Linked DNA regions of Saccharomyces cerevisiae S288C. The gene in region 3 interacts genetically with the main gene of each other region. Each region holds a gene or a part of one and is shown on either strand. Other genes may lie near its edges. The genes, in order: PGU1, FEX2, GRC3 and RGT2.

Region 1 (3,307 bases), on a different chromosome or scaffold from region 3:
CGAAGTTTCACAATTGTGTCATATTGGTAGATGCACTGATATTACCGAAGACTTTGTCATTACTTTCTCATGTACGCTGGATTAACGCTATTGAGGACGGTTTTTTATGTAACTTTTTCAGCCGCAGCGTTTTGTAGGCAGATGAAGTGCGCTCATTCGTTTCAATTGTAGTACTTAGTCGCATTTACCATTTTTTTTACCAATTATTGACCTTCCTGTTTCAGACGATCCCAAGGGTCCAGAATGAAACATAAACTATAGTCTTGAACAGAGATTTTCTTCTCAATTAGGACTTTTAGGCTCTCATTGTTGCTATCCGGATGAGCATAGCGTATCTCTATTATTAAATGGCAAAAAAGATACCAACTTGATACAAATCAACAGTAATAATTAGACCTGAATTTACAAAAAAACCCAGCATAAATTGCCGAACAAATACCAATATTTTCCTGCATCTTTGTTCTGTTATGTATTGAATAGTAAAGAAAAGAAAAGAAGGTATGTATAGTCATATGAGTACTTTAAAAGAGGATTAACAGCTTGCACCAGATCCAGATGGGATTCCAGAACATCCAGAATAGGAAGAACCACCGGTAATTGACACCCCAGACCATTGCCAGTTAGTAGCGTTTTTCACCAAAATTTTAACCCTCTTCGCTGTGGAGTTCACGCTCCCGGTGATATCCTTCATTACTAAATTCGAAATGGGAACGCCACCTGTAGCAGTTCCAGTAGTCTTACTATTCAAATAATCGCCTTCGATAACAATACCATAACTTTTTATGCCGCTAATTTTATTACTGATAAAGTTGACATTAGTGACTGTGCCTGTCGCACCTTCTACGGTTTTTATTCTCAACCCGTTGTCAGAGTTGATAACATGGTTATTTTCAGCCCAGAAACCATTGACTGTATTATCAGAACGGCCACCAACAGAACCTACAGAAATACCATGGCCATTGTAGCAGTAGTTGTTCATAAATTTAATAGTTGAACCGGAATTCACAGCAATACAGTCATCCTGATTATAAACAGTACATCCTTGAATTAAGACGTTACTAGAACTACCAACATCAAACCCATCCGTATTATGACCACCAGCCGAATCACCGTCTCTGATATCAATTGTTATGTCGCTGATGGTTAAATCTGAACATTTATTGATGCTGAAGACTTGGTGTGGAGCATTTTTAATATTCAATCCGGTGACCTTAGATGTTCCCGTCAACGCCAACTTTACAAACTTCGGTTTGACTTTACCGCTATCACCTAAGCCATCCCACCATTTTGCTCCTTGACCATCAATGGTATGTCCCGAAGCACCAACAACGCTGATTTTAGACCCTGAGATTGAAATTAAAGGGCCGCTCCATTCCTTGTACTGAAATGTGGTTGTGCCTTCAAACGTAACAGTAGTACCACTGCTTAACCCAGTTAAATCTAAAGTCTGTCCAGCTGGGACAGTTAAGTCTTTAATAACGATGCTGCTACATTTTTTCACGGTTGAGAGTGAAGACAAAGAAGATCCTGTTAGGGTACAGGAATCTCTTTTTGACAAAGGTGTTGCGATCGCAAAAGCGCACAAAGTGGAAATAAGTAATGAATTAGCAGAAATCATTGCGTTTGTCCATCAATGTGGGTAGATAGTCTTCCCGTTTGAAGTTCTGTGCGTTTTTATACCTGTATGGAATAATTGTGAAACCACATTCTCACAGTAAAAAAGTATGTTCATGTTTAATATCCCGAAAATGGGAAATTGGTATGATTGTTAAACGAATGCACGAGTATCATGCATCTAGGAGAATTATAACTCGTACATTCTGGGATTGAAACTCGTGGCCGTTTTGTATGGGACGGATATCCTAGGTTTTAAATAATAGCGTCAAAAAAAAAAAATTCAGTGACTACGGAATAACTCTCTGTTTCCGTTACAGCTAAAGAGAATTCACAGCGTTAGAGAGTCTTTTATTCAAGAATTAGAATGTAAGCATCTCTCTTCAGTGAAGAATTTTTTATCAGACTTACATATTTTTTGAAAAAAAAATTGATTTATTGCGAATAAATGACTGTAAACTATTTTTTTTCGTACAATGCACCCATTAATCTAATCCTTGGCCTTTGTGCAGCTATTATCTCTACGGCAAGATCACTCTTACTCATATCCGGTAGTTCAATGGTCTTCTAATAGCTAATGTGAAGACGTTGTTCTTTACGATACTTTCAAGAGGAAAAAGAAACTGAATAATGAGGAAGATGGATATGAAACTTCTTAGAGAAGATTATAGTCGTCATTGTTTTAAGAATCATTTAAGTTGTCAGATAGCTTTCAGTTGCCAATTGCATGGCCGTGCTAGCAGTAACAAAATTACATAAAATACTCAATGTTGTATGTCTAATAGCGTGGTAGCCATTTTTAGTCGCCTCCCCAATCCTCCAGTTATATTTGCTTAAATTGATAATTTGTAATTAAACTGGAAGCTATAACGGGGGCATTTCCACTCACAAAAACTCAATGCCCTTTAACCCCTGTACTGCGTTTAACATAACTCGTTTATCACAGGATTATTTTAGGCACAGTAACCGAGTCTTGTCGTAGTAGCGTGATTCTATTCAGTATTGAGAAAATTTCAGCGGTTTTTTAGACCACAATTATGCGTACGCGCGAGATGTATTCTCTTATCTGAACGTACCAACGACCACATATTATTTTCGAAGTTGGACGAGTATAGAGTAGCGCTATATGTCATCTTCACACTACCGTCTTATCTTTTTTTTTTCTTTTTGATCATTGCCACTATCAAAGGGTCGTCAGAATCATTTTCATTACGATATTGTCTTTCTCACCGCCAAATTTAATTTTCAAGTACGGCTGATCAACTTTTTTTTTTCATTTCTCGAGGTATCCTTACCTGTTCCTCGATTCACGTGCTCAGTATCTTGCTCTTCATCGTCAAGTATGTATGAGGCAGGACAAGTCGACTTGTCCTTTACATCAGTCGAGAAATCTTCTACACCAAGAGAATGTAGCTTACAGAAATTCTACTTTGATAAAAAATTCCTTATTTTGATATTAAGTATTTTAGTTTTATATATTCTTCTCTGATAACAATAATGTCAGTGTATCTCACCACTATTTCATAAAGTGTATCTGAAATTTGGATTTTCAAAATCAGTCAAATCAGAAAACTCTAAATTCTCTGTTTCTTCAGGGAACCCTCTCTCGGCAGCTATCTTATCACGTCTCTTGTTTTCCCTTAAATTGACGATGAGCAGTATAGATAGAAGCACGATCATAACAGCATAACAT
Region 2 (3,478 bases), on a different chromosome or scaffold from region 3:
CGAACGACTCTACGCTGCTAGAATATGCAAATGGGGGAAGCCATTCGGGCTTGACGGAATTATCAGGGTAGAGGTTGGCTTTGAGGTCGTTTTGTGTGATTTTTCGGCTGATAACGTCGAACTTGTTTCAATGTTAGAAATGGTCCAGCCTAACCAGTACCTAGGCTTACCAGCACCTACCGTAATATCGAAGGAAGAAGGTTGGCCTCTGGATGAAAATGGAAGCCTAGTTGAAGATCAGCTAACAGATGACCAAAAGGCGATTCTGGAAAGAGAAGATGGTTGGGAGAAGGCTTTTTCTAATTTCAACGCAGTTAAAAGCTTCAATCAGTTGAGAGCGGGTGCAGCGCATGACAACGGGGAGCATCGAATCCATATCGACTATAGGTACCTAGTGAGCGGGATAAACAGGACGTACATTGCTCCTGATCCTAACAACAGAAGATTACTCGATGAAGGAATGACATGGGAAAAGCAATTGGACATGGTAGATGACTTAGAAAAGGCGCTGGAAGTCGGATTTGATGCCACGCAAAGTATGGATTGGCAGTTAGCATTTGATGAGCTTGTCCTTAAATTTGCTCCATTACTAAAATCTGTTAGTAACATACTGAACAGCGATGGTGATATTAATGAGTCAATTGCCATCAATGCAACAGCACTCACATTGAACTTTTGTCTACCAATATGTGAGCCCATACCAGGCCTTAAAAACGGATGCAGACTTTTTGATTTGGTCATCTGCTGTCAGCGTTGTCGGAGAAATTGTTGATGTCATTTATAAAGTGAATGATTTATTGATACCCGAAGTCTACTCTTTTATGACAGATAACACAACTTCCAGCGACTTAATAAAGAATGTCGAAACGGCTCGCTCCACTATCGATGGTTTAATTGAATCTCTAGGGTGGATTGAACTAAATTACCGTTGTGAGAGGCAATGCAATTGGGATGAAGTTTGTTACACTCCTTCCTGGGGCCCATCTCCAATGGGTATGACTGAACCAGGTTCCCACAATGAGGGATTTGGAACCCACTTTGATGAATCTCGACAAAGGTTGGTTATTAACAGTAAACTACAGTGTATCAATATAAATGATTTGATGGTTAATCGTAATCATTAGCGCCTCATGTGAGCAGGCCATTGTGGGACAGTATGAAGGGTATGATTTCTAGATAATCCAATAATAATTATGAAGTTTTTGAGATTTGGGGTGATACACATCTATGAATTACTAAGAGATTTGAGACACAGCGACAGTCATGCCAGCAAGATTTAAGATTTTCTTTATTTAGTGTTTATATACATATCAGATATCTGTTGAGTATTTTCTATTTTACCAAAAAAAAAAGATATGAAATCAAGATAAAACGTCGTATGAAAGACAAGGGAGCTCAGCAGCAATATCATAAAGTAAAGCAACAGCGCTTGGTTCATGTACAATGAACGATCTGAAAATTATTTGGCAGCGGTGCTACGAATACATGTCGATATTACGTTACGATTGTCTAACAGGGGAGGAGAATCGTGCACTTTGATGGGTATATCGAAAAGATGGTGACTCTGCTAGAGTCACTGTCAGTGAGGAGTTGCGATGTATGAAAGATTCACTGACATAAAGTGGCGCGATTCATGTAGCAGTGTAAATCACTTTTGACGCAATGATGGAAGAGATACGGAAGAGATACGGAAAAAATAAAACAAAAAACAACTGAAATAAGTACTAAAGGATTATATTTATTGCCGCCATTATTATTTAGCGTCTGGTGGCTCAAGAATCTGCAGTTATTTAATTATTTAATCGAGCGTGTAATGCTCTGATGATTTTCAATCCGGTCATATCAAATCACAAGTTGAGCCATTATATTCATGTTTTTTGTACATTCACCACGTTCTGCATATTAGGTACTGAAACACGTCAGGCTATAACGGCGCTTTCCACCTACACTCCGGCCTTCGTTACTGCTCCGACCGTTCTCTGGTCTAATTGTTCATCCTGCATGCTAATGGGGATTATGCAATCTTTAAATGCTTACACTTGGATGAAAGATCACCAAGTCTTGTTTTTAGGTGTAACTACTGGGTACTGTGGTGCCCTGTCTTCCTTTTCTAGTATGCTGCTAGAGATGTTCGAACACTCTACAAACTTAACTAACGGTAATATCGCTAACCACACAAAACTGCCGAACAGAGCTTACGGTATAATGGAGTTTTTATCTGTCTTGCTCGTTCATCTTATGGTTTCCATGGGTAGTCTTATTTTCGGTAGGCAACTTGGTAAGGAGGTTATTGTTGCTTATGGATCTAGTTCGTTTTCGAAGCCATATACCCCTCCCTCAGACACTGTAAAGGAAAATGCTGGTGATGTTGATACACAAGAAATGGAAAAAAATATTCTAGAGTTTAAATTCAAAACTCCAGCACCATTTTTTAAGAAATTTTTTGATGTTGTGGATAAACTCGCGTACGCACTAGCTTTTCCATTAATTATTTTGTTTGTGGTGCTGTGTGCGTATTATGAGAACTATTCGAGGGGCAAGTGGACACTACCATGTCTATTTGGAATTTTCGCTGGTTTCCTAAGATATTGGTTGGCAGAAATGTTTAATAAAACAAACAAAAAGTTTCCATTGGGTACTTTCTTGGCAAACGTTTTCGCCACTTTATTGATTGGCATATTTACCATGGTGCAACGTGGTAAAAAACACTTTTCCACGGATATTCCAATTGTGAACTCGTTGAATTCATGCCATATTGTTTCTGCGTTAATATCCGGATTTTGCGGCACTTTGAGTACCATTAGCACGTTTATCAATGAAGGGTATAAGCTATCATTTATTAACATGCTTATTTATTATACTGTTTCGATTGGAATTTCATATTGCTTATTGGTGATAACTCTCGGATCCTATGCTTGGACTAGAGGATTGACTAACCCGATTTGTTAGGATCTTTTCTTCATACCTTTTCCTGCACAATCATCCCACCTTTTTTTTTTTTTAATTCATTTTCAAGATTTTAGACGTTGTATAATACATTTTTACCGACTACTGCGGTTTATTGTAATATTTTGTGAGATTTTATGAATGCGTTCCATCATCTATTTACTACAAAACGATAAATTTCCCCGTTTTCTTTTACTTTTACTTCATTTAATATAATTCATATTTATTTCCTATGTACCAATTAATTACTTCTAAAAAGAACAGAAATAGAAAAAAGTTGTATATAACAAGCCAAAAAAAAGAAAAAAAAAGGAAAAAAAAGAAAACACAGCTTATTTCAAATTGCAATCTGCGTATTTCGTAAGTAACGAATGATCTCACAGCATTGCTTTTTTTTTTTTTATATATATATGTACATTACCTATGTCACATATGACCATGATGAGTACAACACTAAAAACCAAGGCCTACTATTCAATTGTTCTCTATATGATTTCCATTCTAGCAAAATCGAGTGCTACCGACCTGCCGT
Region 3 (4,017 bases):
AACTTTGACCAAATCACACGGAACACCTCTGAGTAGCGATGTTGATTTTGAAGAAATTATCAGAAATGAGAAGTGCAACAATTTTTCAGGCGCTGACTTGGCTGCTTTAGTCAGGGAGAGTTCAGTCTTGGCTCTAAAAAGGAAGTTTTTTCAGAGCGAAGAAATACAATCTGTTCTTGATAATGACTTAGACAAGGAATTTGAGGATCTATCGGTTGGCGTATCTGGCGAAGAAATTATTGTGACCATGTCTGACTTCCGAAGTGCATTAAGAAAGATTAAACCCTCTGTGAGCGATAAAGATAGACTGAAATATGATAGATTAAATAAGAAAATGGGTTTAACGGAGGAGATGAAGGATGCGGAAGAAATGAAACAATAAATTTATAAATAATATTTTGGTAAAGTCCCTAGAAGTTAGTATGACTTAGATATTGAAGGAATATGAGTATACATAACAAATATATAAAACTTTGCATGATTTTTGTGTATCCTCTATCTTTCACTATTAAAAAATGTACGATTACCTTTTCTTTCTATCTTTTCATGAATTGGCCACGTCTCATGACGTTCTTACGAACTTTCCACACATGTTCCAATTTTTTCCTTCTTTCAAAAGTTGCGAACGGTATTTGTATATTATCATCCCATGTAATTGTGCGGGGGGATGGAAGAAAGTCACAAAAAGGAGTTTCCGTCTTATTTCTTACTATTATCCATTGAGCATCCTCAGGTTGTTTATCTAAAATCTGGGTATGGCAAGGTGGCACGTAAATGTTCATTATTTGCTGGGAGGTGTCAATAGAGTGTATCAGCCCCAGAGTTATGAAATTTTTAGAAGAAGAAGTACACGATTGTAGGATGGGAAAGGTATTCAAGGATTTCACCTCTAGTGAGTCTTCTCCAGAATATGTATATATCCCAATGACAGTACCTTCCAATGCGGACTTGATATCTTGAGGATTCAGATCCTGGAATTCCATAGGAAATTGAATGCCTTTAATACCGCTTTTACCTTTGCCATATGAAATTTGCAAAGGTGCAGATTTTAAAAGAGGCGCAAAATCATAATCAAATTGAGTTATTTTATGAAACAGTGCCAGTATTTTGAATGTTCTCAGTTGTGATGCATGGAACCTAGAAGATAAGGTGTGGTTCAGACTATGGGCTGGAACGCGAACAACTTCAGGTGCATATGCATCTCGTAGTGATGTGGAAAAACTCTGTGGAATTGTTAGTTCATCCAGGTGTCTTTTCGAATTAGCTGTTTCCAAAAACAATAAGTGAGTGGGCTTATATTTCCTTATTATATGATTTAAAATCTGCATCCCGAATCCTTTTATCCACCCAGGTAGATTAAGCAATGACGTTCCGAAGAAGGCTTGCTCTTCCAAATGGTCTATAAGTTTATCAGCGCAGTTCAGGTATGATGTGGGCTCGTCCTGCGGGGAAGAGGAGCCAGCGTAGAACTGTAACAAAGTTTGGAAATTTGAACCTTGGCAGAGATGTTGTCCGAGAGAAATAGGGCTGGAAAGAATCTTATTCAGGGATATTGAATCAGGTAGTGAGTATTCAGGTTGACCAGGATCTAAATCCAGGTATACCAATTCTTCCTGGCTCGTAGTAGAATCTCGTATATCTTGCGTAAATTTTTCCAATAAAAGCCTCAAGAATGTAGACTTCCCAGAGTTTTTACCACCAATCACCATGATTCTTGTATCATACGCAGCGTTCTTGTGACTCAAATATAACTTCTCTAACGGAGTTGACCAATATCCCGGCACGGATAAAGATTGAATTCGGTCTGACTCATGTAATAAATGATACGTTGTTCTCTCGTTTAATGGAAAGTAAGGTTCTTTAGGTTTCCATAGATAATTAACATCCCGATATAAATGACCTGCTTCTAACAAGCCCGTATGATTAGAATTAAAAACGCGAAGAACACATGGAAATGATTTGAATTCTTCATCTCTAATTTTAAACCTGTTGTTTCTCGGCATAAAAAAAGTGTCTTGCCAGCCTGCAAAGTGCGAAAAATCTATAGTAGGTATGGACTGTGATAACGGGTGCCAGAAGGTTAAAATTTCTCTCGAAGCGTTATAGTGTACATTGTTGTAGACAATACCTCCTTTCACCACTTGCAGCCGGAAAACACCAGATAAATGTAACTTCTGTTTTTCTTTCAACCCCACAAACATAGTTTCATCTTCATCTCCTTCATACGTTATATTATCGATCAATTCAGCATCCAGCCCGTTCAAGTCATCACCTTCGTCGTCCTCATACTCTTCACTATTGAGAACTACGGTTGCACTTTTTGAAGATGGAATTGACGGAGATTCCACAATGAAATTATTACTTGAGTCTGAGTCCGATTCTGAACCTGAATCTTTGGTATATTGAGGTAGATCCTGTTTGGAATCTATCACCATAGCGGTAGAATATAATAGAAATGATTATCTTCTTCTCTCTGCCAAACTAAACTGCAGTCTTTCCTTATTTCAGAAGGGAAAGATCAGGAGTGGGGAACCTATACTACCTGCACTATAAGCGTGAATTAAGACAACTTAAATGCAACCTAAGCCTTAGGCGCAGAGCACTCGATGACTTGGCAGGAATAAATTTCATGTTGATAAATTTCGTACTTTTTCGGGTAGCAGCGGTGAAAAATTCGTAAGGGCAATTTTAGAAAGATGCAAACTTTCCAAGAAATATTAAAGACCAAAACATAGCCAAGAAAGCCAACTAGGGAACAATGCTTTGTGCTATTAGTGGGAAAGTTCCTAGAAGGCCAGTTCTATCACCTAAATCCAGGACTATTTTTGAAAAGTCGCTCCTTGAACAGTATGTTAAAGATACGGGGAATGATCCGATAACAAATGAGCCCTTAAGCATCGAAGAAATAGTGGAAATCGTACCTAGTGCGCAACAAGCCTCACTAACAGAGTCTACAAACTCTGCTACGTTAAAAGCGAATTATTCGATTCCGAATCTGTTGACAAGTTTACAGAATGAATGGGATGCTATAATGCTCGAAAACTTTAAGTTACGATCAACTCTAGATAGTTTAACGAAAAAACTGTCGACTGTAATGTACGAAAGAGATGCTGCAAAGTTGGTCGCTGCGCAACTATTGATGGAAAAAAACGAAGATTCGAAGGATTTACCCAAATCCTCACAGCAAGCGGTAGCTATTACGAGAGAAGAATTTTTACAAGGGCTGTTACAATCTTCTAGAGACTTTGTAGCGAGGGGCAAGCTCAAAGCACCCAAATGGCCGATTTTAAAAAATTTGGAGCTATTACAGGCACAAAATTACTCCCGTAACATCAAAACATTCCCATATAAAGAGCTTAACAAATCTATGTACTATGATAAATGGGTGTGCATGTGTCGCTGTGAGGATGGTGCTTTACATTTTACCCAATTAAAAGATTCGAAAACGATTACCACAATAACTACACCAAATCCCCGTACCGGGGGAGAGCATCCAGCTATTATTTCCAGAGGGCCTTGTAATCGTTTGCTACTACTATATCCAGGTAACCAAATAACTATATTGGACTCAAAAACAAACAAAGTCCTCAGAGAAATAGAGGTAGATTCCGCCAATGAGATTATATATATGTATGGTCACAACGAGGTCAACACAGAGTACTTCATCTGGGCGGATAATAGAGGAACCATAGGATTTCAATCCTACGAGGATGATTCCCAGTATATTGTTCATTCTGCTAAATCAGATGTTGAGTACAGCAGCGGTGTCCTACATAAGGATTCATTATTATTAGCCCTTTACTCTCCGGACGGTATATTAGACGTTTACAACTTGTCATCACCTGACCAGGCAAGCTCTAGATTCCCCGTAGATGAAGAAGCCAAGATAAAAGAGGTTAAATTTGCAGACAATGGGTACTGGATGGTAGTAGAGTGTGACCAAACTGTGGTTTGCTTTGACCTAAGAAAGGATGTCGGCACGCTAGCGTATCCAACTTACACAATCCCAGAATTCAA
Region 4 (4,686 bases), on a different chromosome or scaffold from region 3:
TGCCTTATCTTTAGCCTATTGCAACTTGAGTCTGCGTAGAAAGTTTCCGAAGAATTAAACTACTATTAACAAAGGGAATGGAAAGAGCTAAAACAGTTCAACCGATAACAGGTGACGAGGTAACAATAATCGCACACGTCCGATCTCCTGTAAGGGTATATGTGTACTATTCAAAAGGAGTACGTGGAGGTGCAAGATCGAACAACAACAACCCGCATCTGGAACCCGGTGATTTAGGAAACCATACATCGTTAACGTACCACATGATGTAGATTATCCGGGTAATAGTTATGATCAGTTGACCCATTTTGTATTCCACTTGACACCGAATTAACGAGGAAAAATCAAACTCATGGGCTACTTGTGAGTAATGTTATGTGTTATCTATAATTCTTTTCTATGTCTATCATGTTGGAATGTTAAAAGAAACTCAAGAGTGCGTGTATAAGAATAATTTATATAAAACGGTTTATAAGACCTCGAACGATCGTAAGATGCTATTGGTTTTTATTGGGGGGAAGTGTATTGGCTGTGCTTACTAGCGAGGTCACTCGTCCAATTAGAGGACGTTCTTGCATTGCTATTGTGTGATGGAGAGAACGATGTGTCGTTGCTTGTAGTAGATGAGCTATTGATTAGTTGAGCCATATATGTATTGACGCTGTTAGCTCCATTTCGTTCAGTGTTGTTATTGTAATAAGAAGAGTCATTTTCCTCATAGAACTCATCAGTAGAGTCAGAAATGATAGAAGGAGGACCTCTATTGTATGTATTCAGACCCAAACCATTCCCCAAGTCGACGTAATTTACTGGCGGATGTTCCACGGGTTTAAACTCTGTAGATGTTAGGGGGGCAGTATCGATGATGTTTACTAACGAGCCACTTCCTTTATCCGCCGCAATCATATGATCATTGGACTGTATTTGGTTCTCCAAGAATCCATCCACATCGATTATGTTGTGGCTGTCATCCTGTACAATTGGACTGTTGTTGTTGTCCAACTTTCCAGCGTTCTTGATATTAGTTTTCATCTCTATTTGTTGTGAAATGGGAAAGGCTAAGCACCTTTTCCTTATTTTTTTGTTCCATTTGCTAGAAATGACGCTATTTGGGGCCTTTCTAAATAACTCGTCAATCTCTTCCAAAGTCAATCCCCTCGTTTCATAAACAGCGAAATAAACAACGATAACGGCCACGACATTTAAGCCGCCCCAAATGAAGAATATTTTGGGCCCCATTGAAGAAGTGTGTGATCCGACATCAACAATGTAAGGTGTAATCAGGGCACAGGTGAAATTAACTAGCCAATTTGCGGCAGCGCATATGGCGGTACATTTCGATCTGACACCAAGTGGGTACAGTTCAGCAGATACCACCCACACGACACCACCCCATGTCGCCGAAAATGCAGCAATGAAAAGGCATATAAAAGCAATCATAATTTTACTAGCAACAACAGTTTTTCCCTCGGAAACACCAACGATGGCAATGACTAAATTTGCTATTGCCATTATGACACCTCCAGCAAGAAGGACTGGTCTTCTACCAATTCGATCCACTAAATACATACCCGGTATACTGAAGGCGACGTTGACGGCATAGCTGATAAAAGAAACCAAGTAAGAGTTGTCCACCCCTGTGTTGTTGAAAAAATTAACTCCATAGTAGAATATAAAATTGATACCAGATGCCTGTTGAAAAGCTTGTATGGCGATACCAGTAAATATTCGTAAAATCTGTTTGGGTCTATTTTCACTTGTTTTGAAACAATCTAAAAGTGTTGACGGGCCGAACGATGCTTCATAATCGTAAGTGGCTTTTATTTCAACAAGCTCCTCTAAGAGTCTTGGATCTTCGATCGGGAGGCCTCTTAAAAAGGATAACGATTTTGCAGCTTTATTGAGTTCATCCTTCAAGACGTAATATCTTGGACTCTCTGGAAGGAATATCATGCCCACAGCTAAAATACTTGACCAAACGTACTGCAAACCAATTGGTATTCTATATGAAGACGGGCCATTTTTGGAATGAGTTCCTTGCGATACTGCACTGGACACGAGTAACCCAATAGTGATAGCCCACTGATAACTGGAAATGATGGCACCTCTAAGGTTCTTCTGCGCAGCTTCAGCTTGATAAAGAGGAACCACAGCAGAGATTATCCCGATCCCGATACCTGAGATCACTCTTCCGACGATTAATAGCACCAAGCCACCGGATGCCACCTGTAATGAGTTTCCGATGGAAAAGATAACAGCGGTACTAAACATAATTGTTGGCTTCCTACCATATGAATCTGAAATATAGGGAGCGATTAACGCACCGAAAAATGTTCCTAGGGAGAGGAATGATACGAGTATGGCTATTTGGCTAGTGGTGAAATATGAATGGTTCGGAGCAATGTAGGTTTTAACATACGGCATATCCGTGATACTGTTTATAAGTCCAGTGTCATACCCAAACAAGAAGCCCCCCACGGCAACAAATATGCCTACCAAGACAGACATCACATTCGATCGCAGCGGCAGCGGTTGCGATAGTAGAATGGACGTGGTTTCTATAGCTCCATCTCCCGCCGGCTCATTATTTGTGTAGGAAATTTGGTATGCGTTAGGATCGTCGCACATCACTATGGACTTTGCTTCCGTGTCATTCGTAGATTCTGTGTATGCATTGCGGTGTGGCATGTTGTTATGATTTATCGTACATTCTGCACCCTGGTGGTGGCCGAAGTCATTTCCAGGATTCAGATGACTATTTTCTTCCCTCTGTCGTAGGCAGTTTTGGCTATCGTTCATACAAGCAATATTCGAGATATTTCCATATATATATAGTGGTTTCTGTGCAACTTGATGGTTTAGACTATTGATACTATTCCTGATCTGCTCTTTAATTTCACAAGCGAATGCCTTAGCGTCAACTAAAAAAAATGAATACTGGATGTTATATGAAATTAGGCAAAGGTTTATTGTTCGATGCTCTCCACTTATGAAATAGATACGCTGAAGAGCTTATGTCTGTTCCATGTATATGTTCTACTTTCGAGGTGGAGGAAGAAGCAAAGGGGAAGCGTGTACGGCAGGTAGTCACCGTTGAGTCGGTAATGAGATAATAGCCAAGCGCGGAATTAGATTTTTTTTAATAATTTTTGCCCATTGCGGTAAGTATCACACTTTTTCACATATGAGCCGATTAAATTCTTTGTTCAATTTATCTCGGGGAGGAAAACTCAGATAAGAAATGACGGAGTTAGATTGAAAAAATCGGAAATCATTTTGTTAGGCATGCGGTAGAATTGGATAGGGTAGCGGCGACATCTCTATGCCGATGGACGATGCAGGAACAGGGAACCCTTTTCTTGCAAGGAAAAAGGCGCTAGTATCACAATTGCTACTTTTCATTAAAAGGTTATCTGTGCCATGTATATACCCTGCATATCTGAAATAAAACAGATTTTTTTTTTGTGAATTGGGTTTGACTTACTTTGTTGTAAGGGCTTCAGCTTGTTAGTTAATTTTAAGGAATTATTAAAAGAAAAAATCCTGCTTATCATTTTTTTTTTATATTTTGTTGTTGGTTTCAGGAAAAAGGGAGCTTTGCAAAAAAAAATAAAAAAAAATTGACAGGATGATCTATAAATATATTAATTGACCTATATAATGGTTTACACTGTATGGTTTCTAATCTGTACAAAAAAAAAAAAAAAAACCCTACAGAAATATGTTAAACAGCTAATAAACGAAATCCAATAAGAAGAAAATGTACCTCAGTCCAAGAATGGGCTATTATTATTTTAAGTTTCGAAAGTTTTTCCACTAAAATCAGAACTAAATAATGGAATGGCCGTCTGCCGGATCAGCATAAAAACATCTTCACAAGTTTCATACTTTTTTTGTCTGAAGCTGTGAAGCTTTACTTTAAGTAACTGTCATCTTTTCCTATTGTAACGTATTTTATATAATGCGCAGGCGGAAGGAGAAAGTTTCAAGGGCGCCATGAAAAAAGCTTCAGTACCGCGATTTTTCAGCTAATGGATCAGATGATATATAAACAAAAAGTGGGATACAGCATATCGACGCCTCCACTACAAATTAACAGAAGGATGAAAACCAATAAGAAAATTTCTAAAAGAAGAAGCCTGAAAAATCTCCATGGTGCCTTAAAAGGACTATTGAAAGAGTCCGGCAAGAAGAGTGAGTCCAAAATACGAAAACATAGCGATTGCAATCCTGTTCATCGAGTATATCCGCCAAATATCGAAAAACGGAAGACCAAAAAGGACGATGGAATTTCACGGCCAATTGCTGAAAGAAATGGTCATGTGTATATAATGTCCAAGGAAAACCACATCATCCCTAAACTAACCGATGATGAAGTCATGGAGCGCCACAAACTAGCAGACGAAAACATGAGAAAAGTGTGGTCCAACATCATAAGCAAATACGAGTCTATTGAAGAACAAGGAGACCTCGTAGACCTGAAAACTGGTGAAATAGTTGAAGATAATGGGCATATCAAGACGCTGACGGCCAACAACAGCACGAAAGATAAAAGAACAAAATACACAAGCGTGCTCAGAGACATTATCGACATCAGCGACGAGGAAGATGGTGATAAAAATGATGAATATACTCTTTGGGCTAACGATAGCGAGGCAAGCGATTCAGAGGTGGATGCTGACAACG

Evidence for each region.
Region 1: mutations in GRC3 (region 3) and PGU1 together harm fitness more than expected from each alone (negative genetic interaction), as found in Saccharomyces cerevisiae (one large-scale study listed by BioGRID).
Region 2: mutations in GRC3 (region 3) and FEX2 together harm fitness more than expected from each alone (negative genetic interaction), as found in Saccharomyces cerevisiae (one large-scale study listed by BioGRID).
Region 4: mutations in GRC3 (region 3) and RGT2 together harm fitness more than expected from each alone (negative genetic interaction), as found in Saccharomyces cerevisiae (one large-scale study listed by BioGRID).

What each region holds. Positions count from the first base shown.
Region 1 is NC_001142.9:721,126-724,432, reverse strand, and holds PGU1 (endo-polygalacturonase), read right to left. Parts: upstream 1,619-3,307; coding exon 533-1,618; downstream 1-532. Other genes in the region: DAL5 (allantoate permease), read right to left, coding at 3,136-3,307.
Region 2 is NC_001148.4:12,699-16,176, reverse strand, and holds FEX2 (fluoride transporter), read left to right. Parts: upstream 1-1,821; coding exon 1,822-2,949; downstream 2,950-3,478. Other genes in the region: YPL277C (uncharacterized protein), read left to right, coding at 1-772; YPL278C (uncharacterized protein), read left to right, coding at 822-1,124. UniProt on the Saccharomyces cerevisiae protein: Fluoride channel required for the rapid expulsion of cytoplasmic fluoride.
Region 3 is NC_001144.5:66,998-71,014, reverse strand, and holds GRC3 (polynucleotide 5'-hydroxyl-kinase), read right to left. Parts: upstream 2,436-4,017; coding exon 537-2,435; downstream 1-536. Other genes in the region: putative AAA family ATPase RIX7, read left to right, coding at 1-382; E3 ubiquitin-protein ligase PRP19, read left to right, coding at 2,759-4,017. UniProt on the Saccharomyces cerevisiae protein: Polynucleotide 5'-kinase involved in rRNA processing. Required for the efficient termination by RNA polymerase I and the processing of the IST2 pre-rRNA internal transcribed spacer localized between the 5.8S and 25S rRNAs.
Region 4 is NC_001136.10:211,464-216,149, reverse strand, and holds RGT2 (glucose sensor), read right to left. Parts: upstream 2,800-4,686; coding exon 508-2,799; downstream 1-507. Other genes in the region: SCM3 (Scm3p), read left to right, coding at 4,104-4,686. UniProt on the Saccharomyces cerevisiae protein: Low-affinity high glucose sensor that is part of the sensor/receptor-repressor (SSR) glucose-signaling pathway, which detects extracellular glucose and induces expression of glucose transporters that bring glucose into the cell.